Linked DNA regions of Rattus norvegicus. The protein of the gene in region 2 interacts with the protein of the main gene of each other region in a biochemical or structural test. Links are inferred from orthologs where the notes say so. Each region holds a gene or a part of one and is shown on either strand. Other genes may lie near its edges.

Region 1 (3,749 bases), on a different chromosome or scaffold from region 2:
TGTGGCTTGGTGGAGCTCTGTCACAAACACAAAGGGTCCGTGACTGGGATGGGGGTGGGGACTAAACATCCAGGCGCCAAAGAATTCTCTTACGTCCGGAGCCGTGAATACACAGAACACTATGAGTGGCTTCCTTTTGCCTTCGTGTGTATATTCATTGTAACAATGATGAGAGGGCGGAAAGACAGGTAGGGAAGATGATGAGATCCTCAGATGGCCGCGAAGGGGCTGGTGCCCACTGAGAGCTCAGTTTCAGTCAGTGTGGCTCGCAGTGGGAAGAGGGACTGCGGCAGCAGGCAGAGGCGGAAGGCTCCAAGTGGGGCCACACTCAACTTTTCCCGTCCAAAGCTGTAACTACGGGTCCCGCTGGACTCGGGCTAGAAGAGGCGGAGTTGCAGCTGACAGGAGCGCGGGACTGTTGACAGCGGGTGGGGGCGCGGCTGGAATCCAGAGGGCGCTCCCAAGGAGGAGCTGAGAGTGACAGTGGGAGTGGCTTAGGGAGGGGCGGGACCTTAGGAGTCGGGCTCCAAGACAGAAGGGGTGGCGGAAGACCAAGGCAGTTTCCACGGGAGACAGCGACCTCGGTCGCGGGAGGCGGAGTCCAACTTCTGACGACCGCTGGCCGAGCAATCGCCTGAGGGAGGTGGAGCCTCGCAAGGCCGGAAGGAGGAGCCTCTCATGATAGGGCGTGGCTTCTCGTGACAGAGGCGTGGCTCCCTCCTGACAGGGGGCGTGACTCTTCCTGACAGAGGGCGGGGCGGCGCACACCTCCCGCAGCGCAGGGTTCTAGAGGAGCGGCCTGGGTCGCATCCCAGAGGAGCGGCGAAGTCCTCGAGTGGGGCGCCCATCTCGCTCCGCCTCGGTTGGCTCCTCCTCGCAGCCCTTGTAGGCTTAGGGACCGGGAGTCTCTCTCGCACCCTAGCCTGGCGTCTTGGAGCTCCTGCCGGGCTGCAGAGCTCCGTGGGCCCCCCGCGCGAGGGCCCTCCGAGTGGTTCCGGGGTTAGGGTTCACAGGTCAGAGTTGACTCCCTGAAAAGTGCAGTCGCTCTGAAATGCAAGATGGCGGCGGCGAGGCGCTGAGGCGAGGCGGCCCCTGCAGGTAGCTGCGCGAGCCGGCTGGGTATTGGGCCTCGCGGTTGCGGGGCTGCGGGTGGAACCCGAGCTAGAGCTCGTGGCGAGTGGGGAAGTCTAGAGGCGCGGGCCCTGGCGCGGCACGGGACGGGCAGCAGCGGGGCAGAGACACCCCCACCCCCTGACCCAGCCCACGGCGCTGGGGCACGCAGCATCCGACCCCGAGGGACCGGGCCTGCCCCGCGGCGGGGCGGACAGAGTCTCAGCTCCCGGGTTCTCTCGAGGGTGTGAAAGCGAGGACGGAGCTCTGGGCGGGGGGGCTTGGAGGGAAAGCCCCAGTGCCTTGGTTGGGAGAGCACTGAGTAACTTGGGGGTGTTGAGGGGATGGGGTCTCCCTGAGGGGAGGACGTCTCTGGGCCAGCAGACCTTAACTACCGGGCGGGTCCTGGGGGAGATCTCCAGCGTTGGGCCTCCGGAGGCGTGGGGCCACCTCGTGGGGACGCGGCGCAGCCCCTCTGAAGAGTCAGCAAAGGATCTCCTGCTGGACTGTAGTCGCTGGCTTTGGGGTCAAAGCAATGGGAACATCAACAGGGAAGACTCAGAGTTGCATCTCTAAGAAGTATAATGCGAAGTATATTTTGAGGAAGACCAGGATTTTAGGGGAGAAGTTAATTAAAGAAGGTGGAAACACACTTGTCTCTTTCTGCAGAGGTACAGGAGCGTGAGTGCAGAGACTTGGGAGAGCGATGGACCAGAGCAATCTCCAAGCCTTGGGGCTTCAAGGGAATTGGCTAGGAAGAGGAAATAAAAAGGACTGGGGTCTGATGGCAGGGAAGCCGAGCCCTGACAGAAGCGCTTTCCTTGTGTATTTACACTGAAGTTCCAAGAGAGGGACTTAGAATTCTTTGTTTCGGTGCTCCAAAGGTACCAGTAAGAAACAAACCAAACCGAAGAATAAGATTCTGTTTGCTCTCCTTAGCTTAGGGATTAAGGTTCTGGGAAAAGCAATTGGAAACTGAATGTGGAGAAGAAGCGTAGATAAGGTAGGAATTGCTTACAGTACTTTTTTGTCATCAACCCTTCTCTAAAAGACAAAACCAAAACAAACCGAGAAGAGATAATATTTAGGAGGAAATTATAAGAGAGGCCGATTGAGAATTTGTGACGTATTTAGGGTGGGATTCCATGTAACTCGAAGAAGCAGTTCTCTTTGAGGTTAATATGATGCCAAATGAAAATCCGGAGGAACCACTCCTCCCCCAGGAAAAGCCTGTGTTGCGGGGTACACGAGTACACCTTTTTCTTTGTGGTGCTGCTGGTCATTGTATTTCAGAAGTCTTTGTCCTAACACTTTAATTTGTATGCAGTGGTAATTACCTGTTTCTTTTTAAACTGCCCTGAAAAGGTCATTATTTCATACTGGTAATGGGGATTAGTAAAAGTTTGTCCTAACAAGGCTACTGGCACTAGATTATTTCTAAAGAAGCAATTCTGATTCCAGATTCTAAGTGAAGGAAAAGCTGAGTGCTGTCAAGGACGGTAGTTTGGTAACAAGGCATATGAAGAAAAGGACAGTCATGAATATTTTCTTTACTTAGTTTCTCCATCCTCCAAGCATTTTAAAAGTATACAGACTAATTTTGTAAATTAGTAAATTTAGCAAAGTAAAATGCATAATCTTAGATTTTGTTTTGAATTGGCATTTCAAAACATAGTCTAGGCTGTCCTTGAAGTCATGGCAATCCTCTTGCCTCTTCCTTGTCAGTGCTGGGCTTACAAGCATGTACCACCATCTCAATCTTAGATACTAATTTTTTTACATTTATTATTTATTTGTGTTTATATGCAGTTATGTGCACATCCTACTGTATGCATGTGGAAGTTAGAGGATAACTTTCAGGAGTTGCTTCTCCACCCACTATGTAGGTTCTGGATATCAGACTCAGGTTGTCAGGCTTGGTGGTAAATGCTTTTACCGACCAAGTCACCTTACTGGCCCTTAGGCATTTTTTAAAATATAGAATTTACAGTATTTTATCAATGAATTTTTTTTGTAGAACTATCTCTTGATATATTTTATTTGACAGCTTAGATTAAAATGAGAGAGAGAGAGAGAGAGAAAAAACAAGAAAGAACCCTAATGACTTCAGTAACATATGGTCTGAGCCATTCTTATATTCTCAAAAGAGCTTAATGTTTTTGGTAGAAATGTTTTAAAGATACAGGTCGAGTATAACAAGCTTGTGGCTCAGCATTTGGAAGACTTCTTTGAATATGTGCTGTTCCTTGCTTTCCCCACAGTGCATACAGCTCTAGTGTTATACTCAGATCTGAACACATTAGTCTGGCACACCAGAGAGGCATCCATAGATGCCAGATGCTTTGAAAATATGCTAAGGCTGAAAACATAAATGTGTCTGTGTGGAGGATGCTCATCGGTAGCTTCATCTCCTGCAAGCCAAGCTTGCTAGGCTTGAGTGTAGGACATGAAAGATGTCACCATGGTTTCACCTTTCATTTTTTTTTCTTTTTAGGGAGAAAAATGTTTATTTATGAATTTCACTTTTCAAAATCAGATCATAATTTTATGAACTCGTCCTTTAGGATGGATACTCAATGTTTGATTTGGATGGACTTCTATCTGCTCTGAACTTAACTGAGAAAACACAAATTAGCTCT
Region 2 (3,649 bases):
ACCCAGATGCCCTTCAACAGAGGAATGGATACAGAAAATGTGGTACATCTACACAATGAAATATTACTCAGCTATCAAAAACAATGACTTTATGAAATTCATAGGCAAATGGATGGAACTGGAAAATATCATCCTGAGTGAGGTAACCCAATCACAGAAAAACATACATGGTATGCACTCATTGATAAGTGGATATTAGCCCAAATGCTTGAATTACCCTAGATGCACAGAACAGAACACATGAAACTCAAGAAGAATGACCAAAATGAGGATGCTTCACTCCTTCTTTAAAAGGAGAACAAGAATACCCTTGGCAGGGAATAGGGAGGCAAAGTTTAGAACAGAGGCAGAAGGAACACCCATTCAGAGCCTGCCCCACATGTGGCCCATACATATACAGCCACCCAATTAGACAAGATGGATGAAGCAAAGAAGTGCAGACTGACAGGAGCCGGATGTAGATCTCTCCTGAGAGACACAGCCAGAATACAGCAAATACAGAGGCGAATGCCAGCAGCAAACCACTGAACTGAGAACGGGACCCCCATTGAAGTAATCAGAGAAAGGACTGGAAGAGCTTGAAGGGGCTCGAGACCCCATATGAACAACAATGCCAACCAACCAGAGCTTCCAGGGACGAAGCCACTACCCAAAGACTATACATGGACTGACCGTGGGCTCCAACCTCATAGATAGCAATGAATAGCCTAGTAAGAGCACCAGTGGAAGGGGAAGCCCTTGGTCCTGCCAAGACTGAACCCCCAGTGAAAATTGTTGGGGGGAGGGTGGTAATGGGGGGAGGATGGGAAGGGGAAGCCCATATAGGAGGGGTGGGGGAAGGGCTAGGGGGATGTTGGCCCGGAAACTGGGAAGGGGAATAACAATCGAAATGTCAATAAGAAATACTCAAGTTAATAGATTAAAAAAAAAAAAAAAAAAAAAAAAAAAAAAGAAGAATTCTACTACAGATGAGAGCAGGCTAAAACCTTTCAGATCTAAGCCAGGCCTAAAAGTAAGGAGGACAGAATAGTCTGTGGAGGTCTGGTCCTGGAACCCCACCACGTGGGAAACTGGAGCAGGAGGACTACAAATTTGAGGACAGCCTAGGCTAGTAAGAGAGAAGAAGAGATAGTCACGGAAATGATGGAGACAAGAACATGATAGACTAGAAACTGTAACGACAAAGGACCTGGCAGGATAAACAGACACACGGCGAGAAAGCGAATTTAGATGCGGACATGCGCTTACCGGCCCATGGTTGACTTATATACGAGGAGTGAGAGAGCAAAGGCAGGCTAAGACTGGTGTGATACCACGAATACCACCCTGAGATGTGGGAAACATAAAGCGAGGGCAAGAGTGCACGAGAGTGGGTAGATCTATTCATCTAAACCAGAGAAAGAGGACTAGGCCAGGCTGCCATCAGCTAGGAGGGTACAATAAACAGATTCAAATCATGTTTCAAGAGGCAAAACTAAAAGAACTTCAGAATTTGAACCATGTAAACTGCAATGACTGGGTGGTGACAAGTCACTTGTTAGGTACAGTCTAATGAACAAGCACTCCAGTTCGGATACACAGACTCAGAACCATAAGAGATAGCCAGTGAGGTTCTACTGCCTGGGTCTGAATTCAGTTGATGGGTCTGTTTGTGGAGGAAGCAGGATTCGAACCCATGAACTCATATGTCAGTTAAATACTCTACACTAGTGAGCTAGCTACACCACTAGTCCTTTATGAGAACAAGTCCCACTAAATTAGCTCGTCTTGAATTCATCTCTAGCCTAGGCATGGCCTCAGCTTCCAGAGTAAGTGGGATGACTGGACTGCACTTCCGGGGCTGATTCAGCTGTGCAAGTTACTTAAGGTCTCAAGAACTCATATTCAACTGTAAAAAATGGTGATGTCCTTCTATTCCATGGGCCTGAGGTTGCAGTTGGTTGAACAACAACAAATAAAAGTTTACTACAATGCTTGACACAAGAACTGACACACAACACTGTTTCCGACTACTAATAAATAAATAAACAAAAGTAAAACTTTTCCTTAAAAAACAAAGACCTGAGAAACCAAGAGTAAAAGTAGCCTGGGTTGAAACTTTCAGTGTTCCTAAAAAGAAAGGAAGCCAAGCACCAGAGACCGCATGCATAGAGAGTATGTTTCTTCCTCAAGGGGAGGGCGGGCAGTCTTTGCTGAGAGAGAAGGTAGGCACCAGAGAAAGGAAGTATTCAATCTCCTTACCTGCATGTGAGGACTGTCCTTTTCTTTTGGAGAGAAGAAGCGGCCCCCTTCCCCACGCTTCCGTGCCATGGCGTGTCGGTGCCGAGACTCATGGAGGTATTTCTAGGGAAGAGCATAAGATTCTCAACTGTTAGCGAGCTGGCAGTAACCTACCGCAGAGTCTACAGTTAAAGGATCCTCACAGTGCAACCCGAGTCCAGGGAACGAGGAAAACGGAATGATAGGCTTCAGTGACTGACTCAGGTTTGGTCGCACAAATGGCAGAATAGGAGGAGACCCCATTTTTATGCAATCTATAGGTATGTTAGATTGGGTCATCGGATGCAGGCAAATCCTTTAAAATGAGAAGGCCACCTTCTTATTCCCTTGGCTGCAGACCAACTGCCACTTCGAACCACAGCCAACACATGAGCACTGAAGCTCTAAGACAAGAGGAAGTCCTGAGGATAAGCTTTCTCTGGACTTCTTTGCTATAGAAAGGGAAAAGCCCCTTGCTTTGTCACTGGTCCTACAGTGAACCTTGATGCACAACTGTGCAGCGTCCTGCCTAGCACTCCCCATGCCATACGCACCCTTCTTTCCTTTGGGATCTTCCCTTCTGCCTCTAGCTTGGCCCTCGCTTGTCTCCTCTTAAGGATGCGGTGATACTGTTTGGCGTTCACGTACAGGGGCTCTTCTTCCAGCATCTCTGCCCCAGGTAAAGGGATTCTTTGGATAGCAGGCACAGAGCCAGCCCCTGGTACCATCTGCATGGACAAGAGAGCAGACCTTACTACCGGCATGAAAAGTTTAAATGAAATTGCCCATTCGTACCCATCCTGCTGTCTTTCCAGAGTCTAGACTAGTCTGGTACCTGGAAGGCATCGGAATGAATTATGCTTCCTGTGGACGTAGACACTGCTAGTGCCATAAGGATGGAGCTAGCTTCAACCCCAAAGTTAGCATAGGAAACTTCACAAGAGACAACACCAGCTCAGACAGGAGGGGCCCACCCAAACCTCCAGTGTGGGGACACTCCTTACCATGACCATTCCTCCTGAGTTGACCACATTCCCTGCCACTGGCAGTGTCACAGTGACAGTCCCTTGTCCACTACTGGTTGTGTTGGTATTGGCTCCTGTCTGAACGATCTGTGCCCCTGCCAAACTGGCTGCTGGGATGGTGATCATGCCTGAAACAGGGACTGTAACTTTAAGAAAACAAAACATAAAACAAAAACAAACAAAACAAAAAACAAAGAACAGGTACACGGAACAGAAAGAAGGGAAAACGGTTAGTCCCTTCCACCTGGCTCCTGTATACCCTCCTGGATAAGCTGACAAACACCATGGGAGAAAGCAAGTGTCTTCTACTGCTTCACCTTGCTCTGCTAAGTAGTCCGGTGTAAACTCATTTTTAAAAGTGTAAC

Evidence for each region. The genes of interacting proteins can lie anywhere in the genome.
Region 1: the proteins of Nfya (region 2) and Zhx1 form a complex in vitro, tested with the Homo sapiens proteins (2 studies listed by BioGRID). The link is inferred for Rattus norvegicus from reciprocal best matches to the Homo sapiens genes NFYA and ZHX1.

What each region holds. Positions count from the first base shown.
Region 1 is NC_086025.1:91,497,764-91,501,512, reverse strand, and holds the start of Zhx1 (zinc fingers and homeoboxes protein 1), read left to right. Parts: upstream 1-1,044; 5' UTR 1,045-1,098; intron 1,099-3,749. UniProt on the Homo sapiens protein: Acts as a transcriptional repressor. Increases DNMT3B-mediated repressive transcriptional activity when DNMT3B is tethered to DNA. May link molecule between DNMT3B and other co-repressor proteins.
Region 2 is NC_086027.1:20,101,952-20,105,600, reverse strand, and holds part of Nfya (nuclear transcription factor Y subunit alpha), read right to left. Parts: intron 3,431-3,649; coding exon 3,264-3,430; intron 2,988-3,263; coding exon 2,814-2,987; intron 2,344-2,813; coding exon 2,242-2,343; intron 1-2,241. UniProt on the Homo sapiens protein: Component of the sequence-specific heterotrimeric transcription factor (NF-Y) which specifically recognizes a 5'-CCAAT-3' box motif found in the promoters of its target genes.